Regions from separate parts of the Mus musculus genome. Here all the other regions are reported to be linked to region 2. The links are microRNA targets in miRTarBase. Many come from high-throughput screens and were not tested one by one. Region 2 holds a microRNA gene; each other region holds the end of a gene's coding sequence.

What was found. Region 2 holds the annotated microRNA mmu-miR-1960 (CCAGUGCUGUUAGAAGAGGGCU, at 1,765-1,786, opposite strand). A microRNA usually pairs through its seed, bases 2 to 8, with sites in the 3' UTR of a target mRNA and lowers its output. Matches are read on the target gene's strand: a 7mer-m8 pairs with bases 2 to 8, a 7mer-A1 pairs with bases 2 to 7 and ends in A, and an 8mer does both.
Region 1: miRTarBase lists Desi2 as a target of mmu-miR-1960. Seed matches in the 3' UTR shown: 7mer-m8 at 3,650-3,656.
Region 3: the mRNA of Grik3 is a reported target of mmu-miR-1960. Seed matches in the 3' UTR shown: 7mer-A1 at 1,961-1,967.
Region 4: miRTarBase lists H2-T23 as a target of mmu-miR-1960. Seed matches in the 3' UTR shown: 8mer at 4,138-4,145.

Annotation. Positions count from the first base shown.
Region 1 is chr1:178,248,456-178,252,921 of GRCm38, forward strand. Desi2 (desumoylating isopeptidase 2) reads left to right here. Exons shown (of 5, transcript NM_024282.3): 5 at 780-4,143. The coding sequence ends at 1,013. Among named protein-coding and RNA genes, the nearest start is that of Gm46174, 50 kb to the right of the region's middle.
Region 2 is chr5:30,167,974-30,172,536 of GRCm38, reverse strand. Mir1960 (microRNA 1960) reads right to left here and starts at 1,798; the gene lies at 1,721-1,798. Hadhb (hydroxyacyl-CoA dehydrogenase trifunctional multienzyme complex subunit beta) reads right to left here. Exons shown (of 16, transcript NM_145558.2): 5 at 3,969-4,013; 6 at 2,942-3,041.
Region 3 is chr4:125,707,706-125,712,217 of GRCm38, reverse strand. It overlaps Grik3 (glutamate receptor, ionotropic, kainate 3), which reads right to left. Exons shown (of 16, transcript NM_001081097.3): 16 at 1-4,321. The coding sequence ends at 4,127. Among named protein-coding and RNA genes, the nearest start is that of Gm40249, 130 kb to the left of the region's middle.
Region 4 is chr17:36,026,003-36,030,503 of GRCm38, forward strand. It overlaps H2-T23 (histocompatibility 2, T region locus 23), which reads right to left. Exons shown (of 7, transcript NM_010398.3): 6 at 4,369-4,398; 7 at 3,975-4,229. The coding sequence ends at 4,186. The region is part of intron 1 of A930015D03Rik (RIKEN cDNA A930015D03 gene); the gene reads left to right. Among named protein-coding and RNA genes, the nearest start is that of H2-T23, 4.4 kb to the right of the region's middle.

The DNA.
Region 1 (4,466 bases), not on the chromosome of region 2:
TAATTGAACTGCCTCTCACTCTCTGAAATAAGAGGGACAAGACTCCCCAGTCCTAAGGACCTGTAAGAATAAGAAGTGGGCAGAGAAATGCAGCAGATTATCAGCCAAGAAGAATTCCAGCTGGCACCCACTTGTACCCCCTAGAGTCCTCAGGCCAAAGGCTAGCTAGGCCTCCATGCCTTGTCCTGACCATAGTCCCTCTTCTGTCAGGATATTATGGAGCTTGTCTTCATTTGTCGACTCTTCTTTCTGAACCATATGAGCTTCCTTGAAACAAATGGGTCATGGTTGAAAGCAAAGACAGAATGCAGCTGAAGGGAAAGTGGGGTGGTAGAAATGGAAGAAAGTATGAAAGAACCTGGGAAAAGAATTAACAAGAAGATACCAAAGACTGACTCTTCTAACAGCATGAGGCTTCTCTACTCTAATAACACCTGTACTAGCAAGCCTCTTTCCTTCTGTTTGTTTAAAAGTAATTTTACATGTTTCAAAGTAGCTCAATGATCCAAGACAGACAGAAACCAAGGGGAATTGGCTTGACTTCACAAATGTAAAAAGTACATGGCTGAAAGAAAGGATTGGGGCTTGGTAGTGTCCGGCTCCTGAGTTAAGGCACTGCTTCTCAGCAGACTGGAGTAGTCTGCTTCTCAGGGCAAGCTGGTCTGCAGTATATTTTCTCTACAGCCACCCCCTCCTCCTCCCCCTCCATCTCCCCCTCCCTTTAATAGTACCATCAGCATTGATCTCTTTTTCCTAATACAGAGCTCTGTCCTCCTTAGATTCTCTGTGGGAAAGAGATTCCTCGCTGGATCAACCGGCTGGCCTACTTCAGCTCCTGTATACCCTTTCTACAGAGTTGCCTGCCAAAGGAGTGGCTCACTCCTGCTGCACTTCAGTCTAGTGTCAGCCAAGAACTCCAGGATGAACTAGAAGAAGCAGAGGATGCAGCCGCATCCAGTGCCATGGCAAGTGCTGCAGCTGGTGCCAGAACTGGGCGTCACACTAAACTATAAGACCTCTGAAGTCAGGCCTTCAGAACTGTCTCTGGCAGTTGAGTATCACTAGAGAAAAAGAAAATAGAGTTAAATGTCCTTTGGATATTTTGTATGCAAAGATGGCTCTCCCCCAAATCCCAGTTTTTCAGCTCAGGATTATATTTGTAATCAAAAACAAAAAAACAAAAAAGAAGAAAAATAGCTTGGCGCAGGAGGGAGAACTTTGTATGAAGCTGCCCTCTTTTCTTTTCTTTTTAACCCACTTGTAAATTTGGATTCACTTCCTCTGTTTTATACGAGCTCTGTTAAATTACGTTTACAGTATTTTGTACCACTGTTTACAAATCTTGCATGGACTTCTGCCACCATGAAAGAAGAATATCCTCATCTTCAAATATTAGGCAGATGATCTTTGTACACTTCCTGACAGTTGCCAGAGCTACAGCATAGGTAGTAGGCACAAGGAAAGGCTTCCACAGCCGCAGTCCTCATCGCTGCTTACAAGCTGTCCCGGAGATCTGTATTTGTTTTGTTACCAATGTTGGCACCCAGATACCGGAATCCAAACTGGCCTGACATGAAGGAGCACACACACAGCCAGAGGGCTTGGGTCCTGGTCAGTTCCTCTCCACACCCTTCTTCCCATTCTGAGTAGCACATTTCCCAAGGTGCCCGTGGAGCAGCTGGTCTCACCCCAGATATGCCCACCTCAGCAGGGTGGTACTCTTGTATCTGCCTGGCTTGATGCCTCTGATTCTTTAATGAAGATACTCTTATAACTGATGAGTGTTTTTGCACATGTGTTAGGAGAGGGGCTTCATTTTATTTTAATACATTCTAACTCCTCCCTGTACAGGATATTTTGGTGGGGTGGGAGTATCCTAACCTAGCTTCCTGAGCAGCAGTACAAGCTGACACTGAACTGCTTTTTAAACTAGCCAGGCTACCTTTTGTACTGGATATTGAAACCTAGAATCTAAAACACACCCCAAAGGTAATTCTTTAATAGTTTGTGTACACCGTATCAGAAATGGCTTATTGGAGTTTCTTAGTTCATGATGGGAGTAGCCGCACCTCATAATAGAGATTCTATTTTCATTGATATCTTGTTGAAAATTATACTTTTGTGTGTCTTAAATTCATTTTTTTATGTTCTCAAATGTATCTCTCTTACATAACATACTCTTGGGAATGAGGTTGTGCTACAGAGAAGTCTTAGTGAGGAAGTCATCTGTTAGAGTCCAACCCCAGTTGACCCTTGGATGTAGAACCAATCATTACATGTCACAATCAATGTTCTGCCTTAAGAGTGAGTGTCCTGTGTAAGTAGTGGATACAACATAGGAACATCCAAGGTACTGACTGCAGCTTTAGATACGTGATTAGTGTGAGAGTCACATTCTCTGTGTGAAGATACATGTCTTTGAGTAAATTTCATCTTTAATTTTTCCATGAGCTGATTTTGATTGATACTTTTTAACGTAAGCACACCCTCTTTATAGGGAAAGTAAACCTTGAGTTATTTAACACTGGCCTGAGGAAAACGAAGTCACTTTGTACTGTTTGACTGTTCTGTTTCCAGAGAAGAAAGCTGCTGCAAGTTACTCTACCCGTGCCGGGTGGGGCAGAGCATTTGTTTCAGGAACGGTGCAGCAAGACAGAATATGTGGTCTTTATGAAGAGTCAACTTAGTTCAGGTCTGAAAATGAGACTTAGGACAAAACACTAATGCTCCCCAAGAGGTGTCACCACGAGAGCCCAAGCCCTCAGCCCAGCTTGGTAAGAAAGAGATGCTTGGTACAGTTGACTTGGGTTTTTGTTGTTGTTGTTGTTTTATTAATAGTGTGGATCATGGTGTTTTCTAATCCATTGAGATATAAATGTTTTGACCCAAGGGAGTGGCCCCTCAGTTAGACACTTCTGGGTAAATAGCCAGGTACATCTCTGTGCTTACCCTCATTTCAGCAGCTCAGCACACAAGTGACTTGCTGTTCTCATGCCTGACTGGGACATTTGACGTTTGAAGAAATGTAAAAGTCTTCTAGGAAATAAACAGCTCATGTGCAGGTCACCTGAGAGTCAGGACACAAGATTCCTTGCACTTTGGTGTCCCTGAGGTTGGAAGGAAGAAAATCTCTTTAGTGAGACCAACCTTCTCCACAGTGTAGATTAGCAATGGATTAATTAACTTTGCTTTTCTTGCCCTCAGAAGGTAACAATGAGTTCTCCACATGAACTCATAAGAAAAACCACAAGTCAGAACTCCAGTCATGAATTTACATGAGTTTACATATTTTGTAGTTGTAACCAAGTGAAACTGTTTCTTCTGGTAGGTGTTTGAACAATAATAGCAGTAATAGATCAGATAGTTGGTTTCTGGTGCTTGTTTTAAATATGCTTGGGCTTTTTAAATCCTCATTGGTGGCATTGGCTTTAGAAGTGTGACTTGTGAGGCTGTAGAAAGTGGTGACTGTCCTAGAGCACCTCCAGGCCTGAACTCCGGCCAACTATTGCTCTGCTTCACAGCAATAGCATACCTACCATCACCAGCATCTTACAGAGCAGGGAATTCCAGGGTTAGTCCATTGATAGCCGTGTGTGTGTGTGTGTGTGTGTGTGTGTGTGTGTGTGTGTGTGTGTGTGTGTGTAGATTAAGCACTGCAGACAGCTGCAGGACTCTGTTTCCATGGCTTCTTCCATCATAAGTCGGGTAGAACCATGTTCACTGCTTCACAGCTCTAACCCATGTGTTGTCTTATGGCTCCATTATATATTTACTATAGCTTTGGTGTATGCTATGTTTTCTTTTTAAATGACTAATGTTAAAAGTTAGTTTTTCAGCAGTTAGCCATCCTCTCATTACATCTTATTCTTGCCGGTATGGTTTGAGAGTGTAGCTTGATTGTTAGACTTTCATTGTCTGCTCAGTCTATTCACACACATCTCCACTGTCAACAAGTGGGACAGCTGTCAACAAATCTTCATGGATCTGAAGAGAATTTCTGTGAAGTTGAATGCAAGTGTACTGTCATTCACAGTGTTTATAAAACACCAGGAACCTTCACTTTTGCTACCTTGATATAGAATTGGACTATCATGTTACAACATTGAAATACATCAATTTATTAAAAACTACTTTTATAAGAAATGTTTTATAGTTCTTTCTGACCTCTAAGAGACAACACTGTTCTGTATTTTGTGCTGGGAAGGGGTTATTTGTACAATCCAAGAGTTCGATCTGCTCTGCAGGAATGTGGCCAGCCCCGTCTGTACCATGTCTTGTATTCACTGTTTCCCTTACTCAAACAATAATTACTCTTGTGCTCAGCCCCTGGGCCAACACATTAGCTATCAAGGAGTGCACAAGCGACAAGTAGCAGCCCAGATTTCTGGGGAACGGAGGCAAACTGTGCTGACTGGAAGGCTTTCCCCATCTCCTTTCAGCGGTTGAGCCTGTGTGCTTATGTTCAT
Region 2 (4,563 bases):
TTGCCATCTGCGGGAGCAGAAAGCTGTTACTTTTGAATACACCAGTATGACCTTATTCTGTCTGTAGGGAGGTCTGATACTAAGTGCCTGTTTGTACTAAAAACTACTTCCTGGCATCTGCATGTCAACTTCTTAATCTGAACCAGTTGGAAAGGAAATCAGAAGCAGGTGTTGGGAGCAAAAGAAAAGACTCCACAGTGGGACAAGGGTAAGGGCACTCAGGTCATATAACAGCTTGATCCTCATGAGGTCACTGCAGCATGTTACCCTTGGCCCAGCTGACACAGAGTTCTAACAAAGCTTTAAATAGAACTGGTAGCTGGTGACCCTTGTCCACATTCTTCTATTTAAAGACTGAATCCCTTTCAAGGCACCAAGGAGAAAAGAGGAAACTGAGCTGAAGGAGAAATGCACTGAGGTCTGTCAGCAAAGTCAGCTCTGATAGGGGCACATAACCCTTTAGGAGGACTTCATATTAATATTAGGACAGGTCCTTGTGGGCTGGAGAGATGCTCAGAGGTTAAGAGCACTGACTGTGGGAAGAGCTGAGGTAGGGGGTGCTGATAATGGGATGTAAAGTGAATAAACAAATTAATTAATTTAAAAAAAAGAAGAGGAAAAGAAAGAGTACTGGTTGCACTTCCAGAGGTCCTGAGTTCAATTCCCAGTAAGCACATGGTGGTTCACAACCAATTATAATGGGATCTGGTGCCCTTTTCTGGCATGCACCCATACATGCAGGCAGAATACTGTATCCATAATAAATAAATAATCTTTAAAAATATATATTAGCGGGGGCTGAAGAGATGGCTCAGAGGTTAAGAGCACTGACTGCTCTTTTGAAGGTCCTGAGTTCAAACCCCAGCAACCACATGGTGGCTCACAACCATCTGTAATGAGATCTGATGCCCTCTTCTGGGGTGTCTGAGGATAGCTACAGTGTACTTACATAAAATAAATAAATCTTTAAAAAAAATATATATATATATGCTATGCGCATAGATTCTAGTGAAATTCTTTTGCTGGGGACTTTACGTTTTACTACTTATTTTCCTACTTGTCCCATCACCTCTACCTTTCTCCTTAGCTACTAAAATGACCTGGAAGTTAGGTGGCTTAGGTCTTTAATCTCAGTACTTTGGAGGCAGGTGCATCTCTGTAAGCTTGGGGCCACCCTGGTCTACACAGTAAGTTCCAGGCCAGCCAGGGCTTCATAAGAGTGAAACCCTGCCCATCTTAAAAATAAGAGATTATGTGGCGTACAACATGACTGCTATTAGTATTAGGTCCAGGGAAGAAACTTCCTCATGCCAATCAACAGCTGGAATGTGCATATAGATGTAAAACTTTCAGAAAAAAACTCAGAGAAAAACACCATGGTTTTGGTTTGAGAAAAGAAGAACGTAGAGAAAATTGAAATTTACTTTTTCAGTCTTATGAAAGTCACTTCATATCCATGATCCAGAAGTTCCAAGCACTGTAATCAACTCGATGGCTTTATGTAGCCATGATTTTTTAAAATAAATTTCCTAATATGGTTTTTAATGAACTAATAATCTTCCATCATTTTGTTGAACCATAATTTATCCAACCATTCGATGTTGAACAAGATAAGTAGCTCTTCTGAGATTTACCTGTCTATTTTCTCCCGCAAACCTTCTGTCCCTTTTTCACTAACCCACCAGAGCTCTTTATTAGGTGTGTTCAAAATGTGCCAATGCAGAGGAAAAGTCAGTGCTGCAGAAGAGAGCTCTCCCTGCTCTCAGCCCTCTTCTAACAGCACTGGCTGCTCACTCTGTGACCTTGGGCAGTGCTGGAATTGCAGCTGCTTTAACATTCACTGTGTGAGAGAACTAATGGCTTTGATCTGCACATTTGCCCTTCTATCTTGGCTAACAATGGAAGTAATTATCCTCATAACTATAATGAACACAGAAGCACAGACAAGAAATAAGATAAATATGTGAAAGCCTACTTTATCCAAATAATTGAAACAAAGCCCAGAAGACGGGTTTGAACTAGTCACTGTCAAATGCCTGTGTGATACTCATATTAGTTTCAAGGCTGTCATTATCTCCATTGCCCAATAAACACTAGATGTGTGCCAACTAGGTTAAAGGTAAACTCCGAGGAAGTAGCTACATTAAAAAAAACAAACCTCTGCCTAGTGTCATCTAGTCAGAGGTAGCAAGTCATAGGTAAGGCTTCCGCCTGCTACAAAAACCAAGTTATGAACTTGGCTACACTGTTCAAGCTTAATTAGAAACCATGAAGGCTAACATTACAAAGAGCAGCATCAGCCATATTGCTATACTGTTTCTCTAACACAAGAGACAAACTAACATTTCTTAAAGCACTCAAACAATTTATCTGACCTACAGCAAAATGTGCATACATAGTAATAATATACATCATCTGATTTTAAGTGAAATACATGCTTAGCTAATGGATCTTAAGAGTTTAATGACTTTAAAATGGTAAATTCTAGGCTGGGCATGTATCTTAGTGGTAGAACACTTGCCTTGCCTGACATATGCAAGGCCTTGGGTCAGATCTCTAGCAACACATGCACATACAAAAGAAATAAATTATTAAATATTAACTCAAATTCAAATAGACTTTTTCTAATTTTGGGGAAGGGTGTGATGGTGGGGGAGACAGGGTCTCACTATGTAGCCCTGGATGACCTGAAACTTACTGATCTGCTTGCCTCTCCCTTCTGAGTATTAAAGGTGGATCACCAAGCCCAGCTCTGTTGCCACTGTTTTGGAGACAAAGTCCCACTATAGCCCAGATAATATGGAATTTACTAATTCCCAGATAGGCCTTGGACTCCATGGTAATCCTCCTGCCTCATCCTCCCAAGAGTATATTACAAGCATCAGCCACTATATCCAGCTTTATCAATCTCTGTAAACAATATAAATTTTGCTTTACTCACCTCTCTAGCCACATTGCTTGTTTTCACTTCCTGAATAACTGTACCAAAGATGATATAATCAACAACATCCTTTGGAATATTGGTCCGATGCAACAAACCCCTAAAAGCAGAAATCCAAAGAAAAGAAACACTTCATACATGAAGGTATGCCAGAGAACATCACATAAAACACTACACGTTTTAAACAGGGAAGCCATGCACTGGAGGTACAGGCCAGAGGACAGTGCTCATTTAGTACATGCAAGGCCCTCGGTTCAATCCTAATCTCCACAAAAACACAAAGACAAGTCTTTCCTTTTCAAAGGCCAGACACAGACATTTAACAGCTTATCAACAGGAAAATGAGTGAAGAGTAATATGAAGAGCCAATATTCGATGGCCACTTGGTAATGAGACATTAGAAAAAAATAATCAAAACCAACTCGGGCAGGTGGAGTTAGCTCAGTGATAGAACACTTGCATTGGAAGCAAAACCCTGGTCAGTCCTCAGCTCTGCCTGGGGTTGGGGGTCGTGGTGGGATAATTTAGGAAGTCAGACATGGTAATGCATGACTTTAATACCAGAACTGGAGAGGCAGAAGAAGGCAGCTCTCTGAAGTCCAAGGGCACCCTGGCTTACAAATCAATCCAGGCCAGCCAGAGATATATATCAAGGTCTGGACTCAGTAAACAGACAAACAAATAAAAAGCTTGGGGCCACTCAGAAGCTGTTAAAATTTAACATATATGGTTAAAATAAAATTTAATCGTATCATGACATACACCTTTAATCTTGACAACTGGGAGGCAGAGGTAGATGAATCCCTGAGTTCAAGGCTAGCCAGGTCTATAAGTCAGTTTCAGGTCAATCAGAATTATATGGTGAGACCCTGTATCAAAGAACCTTGCTAAGAGCTAGTTAATATTGCTTCTTTCCATGTAAAGTTTAACAGCCTAGATATGAAAATTCTACAAAACATGCTACTTCAAGTACAAAAACTATAAAAAGTATTTTAAGTTGAAAGAACAGGAAACTTGATTTACTTACGAAAGTGCAGCTCTAGCCAAGTCATGTGGCATTAGGTCTTTATACCTGGGGAAAGAAAACATAATTTAAACCAAAAGCCTAGAGTTTCAATAGAACTTAAAAAAATCAAATGCATACAGATTGTCTAACTTATGCTGACAATGCAGCTAATCTTACTCCCAAGTCAGTCTATCAGTTCATATGAAGAAATAGTGTGACTTTGCTATCTGTCATCTTAAAAAGTCTGACAAGCCCTAAACCTCTACAGAACTTGCTGTCTGACAAAATAGACATCCCCTCTTTTTTTTTTTTTTTTGGTATCATTTAGTGTTGTGTGTATTTGTATACTTGGGGAAGTCAAGGGACAACGTGTACAAGTCCCAGCTTTCCAGGGACTGTACTTATGTCACAAGTTGGGTAGCAAGCACCTTTACCCATTGAGCTGTCTCACTACATCTTTCATGCCTTGCATTTTAAAAATTCACTTATTTTTGTTTTATCTGCATTGATGTTTTGCCTGCATGGATGTCTGTATGAGGGTGTTGGATCCCCTGGAATTGGAGTGCAGGGTTGGGAATTGCACCCAGCTCCTCTGGAAGAACATCCAGTGCTGCTG
Region 3 (4,512 bases), not on the chromosome of region 2:
CTCCATACGGTTGTTTGTCCATGGCATGAAGGCCCTTCCAGGTGGGCATCCACGCAGGGCAATTCCAGAGGTGGACCATGGAGTTTGTCATGTTCAGATGCTGGTGCCTACAGTAGGGAATGGCTTTGGGGCGTGTGTGTGTGTGTGTGTGTGTGTGTGTGTGTGTGTGTGTGTGTAGCATGGCCTCATGCGGCATGAAGCAGCAGCAGCTGCACCCCACCTTCAGCCCTCCCTGGACCAGAAAGGAAGGTAGGAAGGGACAGACGGTTCTTGGTGAACGTGAGCCTGGTCTGACTTCCGCTCCCTCGTGGAGATATTTAATCTGCACACCCCTCCCCGCATTGCATGCTACAAAGGCAGGGCTCAGCATGTGCTCTTCCAGCTGTGACAGTCCAGGCTGACCGAGGGGCAGTCTCTTACCTCAAGGATTCTAAGTCCAACTCACTGGCCAACACAACTGCCCAGGAGCCACCTGAGCCCCCACAAAGTGCTCAAATTTCATCAGTGACTGTCCATAAGAGAAAGCAGGCACAGGCCAAGGTAGAGGCAGTCTTTGTCCAATAGCCCCCAGGGCCCGGACAGAATGGGTGCTGCCCCACCACAGGGCTGGTATAAATAGGTGGAGCTCAAGCCCAGACATAGTTGTGTGAGGCATTCTTCTATTCGGGGCTGGCCTATATGATCAGACAGAGCCAGCCAGCCATGGTCCTGCTCAGGTATGTCCCATCTGCTCCATCCAAACCAATCTTTGTGTTTCCCATTGCTCCTCAGAGCATTTGTGTGTTCCAGCCTCAGCTCTGTGCACCCCTTAGGGGGTTGGGACAGGTTTTCACTTGAATGATCTGCCTCCCTCTTGACTCCCTTCCCTACCCTGGCAGAGACACAGCTTAGCTGGGCAGGGTGGTCTCCAGGCTGTTTGGGACTGGGCTGGTCTCTAGAACAAACACAGGACTTCAGCCAGAGGGCAAGCGTTAGCCATACCTCTGGATATAAGGCTCAGGTGGGAGGGGAGATCCTGCAGCACGCCACCCCTCTTCCCGGAATGAGTCTATAACCAACCCCCACCCCCACTGCCGTCACCCAGTGGTCATTACCTCTCTGAACACCCTTCCCACCAACCACACCCCGTCCCTTCTCCCATCACAGTCTACATATGTGCATAGCCTCGAAAGAACATGACACGTCTGCAGTGTCATGCACAAAAGCACATGTGTGATATGAACATGGAGGTGGGTGTGTGTTATAAAATGGTATTGGACAACAGAAGACAGTGGTTAAAGACTACAGCGGATGAGAACGGAGTTGACAATGGTTTCATGAGGATCCTGTCAGTAGGGGTGATTTAAGGAAGGAAGGAAGGAAGGCAGGAAGGAAGGAAGGCAGGCAGGAAGGAAGGAAGGAAGGAAGGAAGGAAGGAAGGAAGGAAGGAAGGAAGAATTTTTCCCCTCTCAACAGGACACTCTATGAACAGCAAAGGAGAAGGCATCACCCCAGAAGGTGAGCCCCAGAAGGTGTCTCCCTGTGCATTTTCCCATGGAGCCCTCAGGAAAGCTGTGGCCAGTGATCCCTCCCATAGCAGGCATGCTGACACATCCTGGTACCCTGCCGTACTAACTGCTCTGCTGCCTCAACGCAGGATTTGAATTGGAACTTAGGTACATGTCTGCACATACATGGGTATGAGTACACACACACACACATACACACACACACACACACACACACTCACTCATTCCATTTTTACGACTCCTCCTGTATAGCACACACCCACCCAATGGGCACAGCAGTCTGGTCTGCCCTCCCGTGCTGTCTTCAGGGCACACAAGCCTGCACACAAATGTGGATGCACACGAGTGTGGATGTACACGCACTCACACAAGGATCTCTGATGACATGGCTTCTCCTTTTACAAGTATTTGGCTATACTTCAGGCTGTGTCCTGGTCCCTACCCTCTGCCATTCAGTGCACACACACACACACACACACACACACACACACACACACACACACACACACATTTATTCACGCTTGCATCCATTATACACTCACCAGAGCCCCATCTCCACATGGCTTCTCCTGTTTTTACATAGATGAGACTCTGTTACCGGTCCTGATTGAGCTCTTTGCTACCCGTTTCTCTCTCTCTCTCTCTCTCTCTCTCTCACACACACACACACACACACACACACACACACACACACACACTCGTCCTAAAGGAGGCCCCTATTCCTGCCTGCTAGGGCTGTGTTATATCTGTCCTTCATCACCAGCGGCTGGAACTCACACACAGAAAGTCAAACACGCAGACATGTGTGCTCTCCTCTCCCGGGCCAGCGTGGCTTCTCCTATCATCATGTGCACTGGGCTTGGCTGCGAGTCTCCCCTTTCCTCCCTCCCCCAGTGCAGCCAGCCAGCCAGAGCTCCCAAGAACCGGCATGGTGGGAGTGATCACATGTGCCCATCATGGGGGCCACCCCGTTGGCTGAAGGGGTTCCTTCACCTCTGCTGAGAAGACTTAAGCTCTAGATGTAGCTCATCCAAGCCTGCCCCCTCCAGCAGCACCAGAAAAGTGAGGGATTGTGGGTGACTGGTGTCCCCCAGTTCTCAGTTCTCAACCCATATTGCTCACCCTGGTCCCTGATCAGAGACCAACATCCATCCAGCTGTGGAGGCCCCTATGGCCCTGTCATGCTCTCTGTAAGGACACTTTTTGCCTAACCCCTCACATCTGATCCTTTCCAATGACCATGACGGTTTCAAACCTCCAGAGATGGAACCACAGGCCATCTGCTCATCCCTTTGGCTGTCACCTTCTCTGGCTTCTCCTCTGGGGTCTCCCTTCAATCCCCTAAGACCATAGCTGCTCCAGAAAAGAGATCAGGGGCCAGAATGGCCTTGTGTCTCTGTGTTGGGTCTTTGGTTAATCTTCCAGGAGGCAGCTACTCCCTTCCTACCCTGGGGGCCTCTGGAGGTCTTATATCCTGTCCCTGAAAGCTTTCTTTCTTTAGGGGGCTCATTAGGTTGGGCGTACCCAGAAAGTTCTTCAGGTCCCCTCTGGCTTCTCCCACCTACCCCAAAGTTAGTCTGTGGAGGGGGGACAGCAATTCCTCTTCTGAGGAGCTGTTGACTTGGCTTGCGCTTCAGCTGAGACCGCTCTTCTCTTCTCAGGATGACAGAGGGAGGCCAAATTCAAATGGCCGGGGACAGGAAATCGCCAATGAGTAGATGGTAGAGAACCCAGGGTCCCGACTGCTGGCTTGTTTGCCAGCAAAGTTGGTCTATTGGTTGAAGGGCCTGTGGGATTTTTATAGAGTCCATATTTCTTCTGCTGGCCTACCAATGTCAACTGAGTCTTTGGACGTTCCTTGTGAGGGAGGGCACCTTCTCTGTTCTGTGCAGCCTTGGAGAACAATCTGCTGTGATGACGACCTCGTTCGCATTCCTGGGGACTCTCGAGACGTTTGTGGCTCAGGACACTGACCCGAAGCATCTGAGATCACAGTCTCCATCTGTGTTTCCTTCTCCCGTACCAAACACCTCCTTTCCACACAGCTTTTCATGTTGCCAAGGGGCTGCTGCTGTTGGTGAAGCCATATTGAGATGAGCAGACCCAGGTGAATAGCCCTTAAGGGCTGAAGCGTTGCTTCTGTCCAGGTATGGATGACTGCCTTTGAGCTCCCACTGGCAGCCTCATCCAAACACCCATAAGGTGTCCCGAGTCGGAGTCTCTGCTCTCGTGGCTGCGTGCTAGAAGGCCTGGCTTGAGGGGAATGAGGGGAGCTTTAGAGCCATCTTCCGTGTTCTGCGGCCTCGGCAGAGGCCTGCCAGAAATACCTGGCTATGGAGGAGAAGAGAGATGGTTGGTGATGGAGCCTGAGAGGCATGTGCTTCCGCTGGCCTTCACAGCTTCAGAAAGCCATAGACAAGACAAGAGGAGATGAAGCCCGAGCAGCCGGCCGAGGGTCCGTGTGGGTTTCCCGGTAGGTTAAGAGCTGATGGTTCACAGCTGGATGCGGCCAGCAGCTCCATCCCCAAGGCCAGCACGAGATGAGGATGTCCGTCCTTTCGGGTCTCCTTTGCCTTCCTCTGCGTGGACTGGGCCTGAAGTCCCCGCTGGACCCATGTCTAGGGGAAGACAGGGGCTAGCGAGGTGCTGCAGCTCATGCTGTCCTTGCCTGGCAGCCTTCGGTCATTAAAGGTGTGCATGTTGATAACCGCATCCGTCTTGACCATCATAGGAGGCTGGGGCTTGTGCTTGAGACGCCGTTGGCAGGTGAGGGAGAAGCGGATCTCGTCGGCCACTGTGCTGCAGAAGGAGCGCTGGGGAGGGACAAGAGGCAGAGTGAGACAGATCCTCTCCTCCTGACACTAAGACAAGACTACCTGTGGCTTTTTACACCTACAGCCCTGCCAAGGTCTTGAGAGCCCTAGAAAGATGACTGGAAAGTCCTCTGTAGACTGGGGGGGAAGGGGGGCAGATGGCATCATCTTTCTGTTTCACAGCAGCCTAA
Region 4 (4,501 bases), not on the chromosome of region 2:
CTTATGGGAAGCCCTAGTGGTGTGTCTGCAGGATGTGAGAGTGAGTAAGTGCTGAGGAGGAGGTTAGAATACCCCGCGCATCCCTCCACTGTGTTCTGGTGAACTTTAAATGCCAATTTGACACAACCCAGAATTTCAGGGGAACAGAATCTCAACTGAGGCGTTATCTACATCAGACTGACCAGCGGGCATGTCTCCAGGGAGTCTTCTTGATTGATGATGCTTTCTTAGGCAGCACCATCCCCCTAGGCAGGAGGTCCCAGGCTGTATTAGAAAGCTAGCTGAGCATTAGCCACACTTGCCAGTCAGTAAGCAACATCTTTCATGGTCCCTGCCAAACTTCTCTGGGTGTGAAGCGAGTTCCTTTGTCATATGTGTGGAATAGCAAGCAGGCAACATGGACACATTCATCTCTCATGACTGTGGACATGACGTGAGCAGCTGTCTCAGGCTCCCGCCACCGTGGTTTCCCTCTGTGATGGACTGACCGTACCCTGGAATTGTAAGCCAAATAGACTTTCCCGTCCCTACCTTGTCTTTTGGATAAAGTGTTTTATCTCAGCAATAGAACAGAAACTAGAACACATTGCTGGGGTGATTTGCAGCATCATGAGGGAAATCCATCTTTCAAGACCTTCTAGAGAGTGGGTCTTGAATGTGCATAGCTAAGGTGGTGGGCCATGAACAATAGCAAGGTCTCAGAGTGCACAGTAATCAAAAAGTAATTAGGAATCAAAAGGTGCAGTGCCTTTAAGCTGTTCCTGGCAGTGCACACTCTGGCCTCGTCACATAACTAACTCTGCCTCAGTCTTGGTTCTGATCACCACCCTACCCTACACACCTACCTACACAGCAAGGAACAGCTGTCTGTAACTCCAGGCCCTGGGATCTGATGCTTCTTTTGGTCTCCAAAGGCAACACACACACACACACACATATATATACATACACACACACACACACACACACACACACACACACGGTACACAGATATACATGCAGGCACTCCCATAAAATAAAAATAAAAACTTGGTATTTGAGTTGCTGAATTAAATCTTGACAAAACCAAACGACTGCTCCAGCCGGGGATTTAGTTGATTAGAACACACGAAGCCCTGAATTTTGTGGTCAGCACTGCATAAATCATGCATTATGGCACATCCTCAACTCCCGAGCAAATAGGAGGCCAACCTGGGGTACAGGAGAGACCCTGTTTCAAAAAATAGACACCAAAACAAAAACAACAAACAAAAAAATAAACACAAAAAAATTGTTAAGTGAATTTGGGCTTGGGATTAGGGCCTGTGTTTTGAATGGCCTTAAATATACTTCTATCATTTTGTCCCATGTGATTATATAAAGAGGCATTCTCAGTACTGATGACTATAAAATCAAATTATCAATAGCTATGAAAAACATCGAAGATGCTCTGTGTTCTTCGGGATCTTATACTTAGCCAATATTTAACCATCCCCCGACTCTTCCCCTGTCTGCTTTTAGAGAGTTTCTCCGGTAGCCCGGCTGACCTTGAAATCACTTTGTAAATAAGGATGCCTTTGAACTCCTGATCCTTGTGTCTCGACTTCTCAACTGCTAGGATTACAGGCATGCAACAGCATACCTACCTGACTAAGTTTAAATCTCTTTAAAATAAGCATGGTGTATAGAAATTTGCTTTAATTTTTAATAACTTGTAAAAGTTACATATGTATATCAAATAATACTTTTTGTTTGTTTGTTTGTTTGGTTTATCAAGACAGTTTCTCTGTGTTGCCCTGGCTGTTCTGAAACTCACACAATAGACTAGGCTGTCCTTGAACTCAGATCCATTTGCCTCTGACCCACAAGTGTTCAGATTGACGGGGTGCGCCACCACCACAGGACAAATAATCTGTTTTAAAATAAATTGTTTTATTATCAGTGTTTGATTTGTATAACTGTTTTATACTCCCCAAAGCCTAAGGCCATGTAAAAATATCTTGGCAGAAAAGAAGTCGTAAGTAGAGAGTTTTAGAAGCCTTGCTTTAATGGATTCGTTTATATTCCATATCCATGATACTTTCCTGTCCCATGGGAAACTACAGAAGAAGGCAAGTCTTTGCTGGGAATTGGGAATGAGGGAGGCAACACCTTATGCACAATCCCATGGTCCAGACTGGACTGTTTTTACAGTACCTGGGAGATGCTGATCCAAAAGGGCCAAAAGAATGGCACCAGGCACGGTGGCTCACTCATTTAATCCCAGCACTCAGGAGGCTGAGGCAGGCAAATCTCTCTGAGTTTGAGGCCAGCCTGGTCTACACAGTGAGCTCCTAGCCAGCCAAAGCTATATAGTGAAAGTCTGTCTCACCAGGGGCTGGAGAGGTGGCTCAGCAGTTAAGAGCACTCACTGACTGCTCTTCCAGAGGTCCTGAGTTCAATTCCCAGCAACCACATGGTGACTCATAACCATCTGTAATGGGATCTGATGCCCTCTTCTGGTGTGTCTGAAGACAGCTACAGTATATTCATATACATTAAATAAATAAATAAGTATTTTTTAAAAATTGCACATGCCTTTGGTTACAGTGATGATGCACTGGTGGGCACAGCTCACGTGGACCAGGGAATCAATGTGGACCTGCCTGGTCATGCTAACCAAGGACACAGGCTCTCAGTTAGCTGGATTCACTCAGGCTGGGGGCACAAAGAGAGAAATGACAGAAACCTTGATGAGTGCGGAGGCCTTAGGGCTGAGCATCGGTTCCTGTTGATGGTGGGAGGTGAAGTGACAGCAGATCTCTTGTGTTGCCATACTATACGGGATGTGTGACTGGAAGCCCCAGGTTGCACTGCTACTCCTTACAAATGTGATGTTTGAGTACTTGGTAATGAAAGAAAGGAAACTAAATTCAAGACTTTAAAGCCCTAGCCAGAAAGTTTATTCAAGGTCCATGTCTCATGTGACTTGCTAGTTAGGGGGCTTTTTGGGCTTAGAGCAAAGAACAAAGGCTGTAAAGCCATCCCAGGAACCAACTAGCCTTTGAGATAAGAGAGGCACACAAGGACAATCTCTGGACAAGCTCAAGATGAGTAAGGGACCACTTGCTGATATGTTTTGGGTTTTAGCCAGATGTCCTGCCAACCAAGATAGACACCCTCCCTTTAGAGTTACTCTCTGATGTTTAAATTGCACATTTGTGTGTAACTGTGCCAATTCTTCCCCTACCCCACTCCTTTCCTATATAAACCCCTAACTTTTGAGGCCAACATCCGTTATCTCCTGTGTGGGATGCATGTAGGTCCAGAGCTCCATCATTAAACTGCCTCATGTGACTACAGCAAGATGGATTCTCGTGTTTCTTTGGGTGCTCTCTCACTCTTGAGACTAGAGTGGGGGTCCCCGAAAGGGGGTCTTACAGTCACAGTTGGTGGAACTCTTTGGGGACATTAGGAGAAGCAGCCATGCTGGAAGAGGCGAATCACCAGGGGTGGGCTTTAAGGTTTCCAAAGCCTGCTGAGCCATTTTTATTCAGCATTCTCTGTCTCATGCTCCTGGTCAGCTACTGCTCCAGCGCCATGCCTGATTGACTGCTGTCGCGTTCCCTTCCATAGGGTCACAGACTCTAAGCCCCCAATAAACTCTTCTAAAAGTTGCCTTGGTCATGGTTGTCTTATCACATCAAGGAGAAAAACAACCAGACAGATGGTGAACACCAAACAATAGAAACTGCTATGGCGCTGTAACTCCCTGCCATCCTCAGAACATTTACAAAGACAATATTGTTTGTCCACACACCTTTTATTTTTTAAAGGTTTAATTTTATGTATGTAGGTGCTTTAGCTGCATTCATGCCTACATTCATGAGACATGAACTGTTTGTTACTAGTAACAGACACCTGCCATGTCAGTGCTAGGAATTGAACCCCGGTCTCCCTTGTGCCTCAGGTCCAGTCCCAGGCCCCCAGGGATTTTCATTCATTCATTCATTCATTTATTTATTTATTTATTTATTTATTTATTTATTTATTTATTATATGTAAGTACATTGTAGCTGTCTTCAGACACTCCAGAAGAGGGAGTCAGATCTCGTTACGGATGGTTGTGAGCCACCATGTGGTTGCTGGGATTTGAACTCTGGACCTTCAGAAGAGCAGTCAGTGCTCTTACCCACTGAGCCATCTCACCAGCCCCCCCAGGGATTTTCATGCCTTCTGAGGCCAGTCAGAGGTCTGGAAGCTCTTGCTGCCTGCAGTAGAAGAGATAACAAGGCACACAGAGGAGACAGAGAGGATGTGGCAAGAGGAGATTATGGGCTGGAACAAATCCCAGCTCCATCCTGAGAGCCTCAGGGACAAGGGTGTCCCCTGCCCCTCTCTCGCACTTACCTAGAACATGAGCATAGCATCCTTTTACACCTGTGAGAAGAAAAGCCATGAGAGACCAGAGAAACACCAGCCCTAGGGAGTTCCCGGAACTGACAGCTGACCCAGTTGGAGACTGCAGCAATGTGGGTGTGGC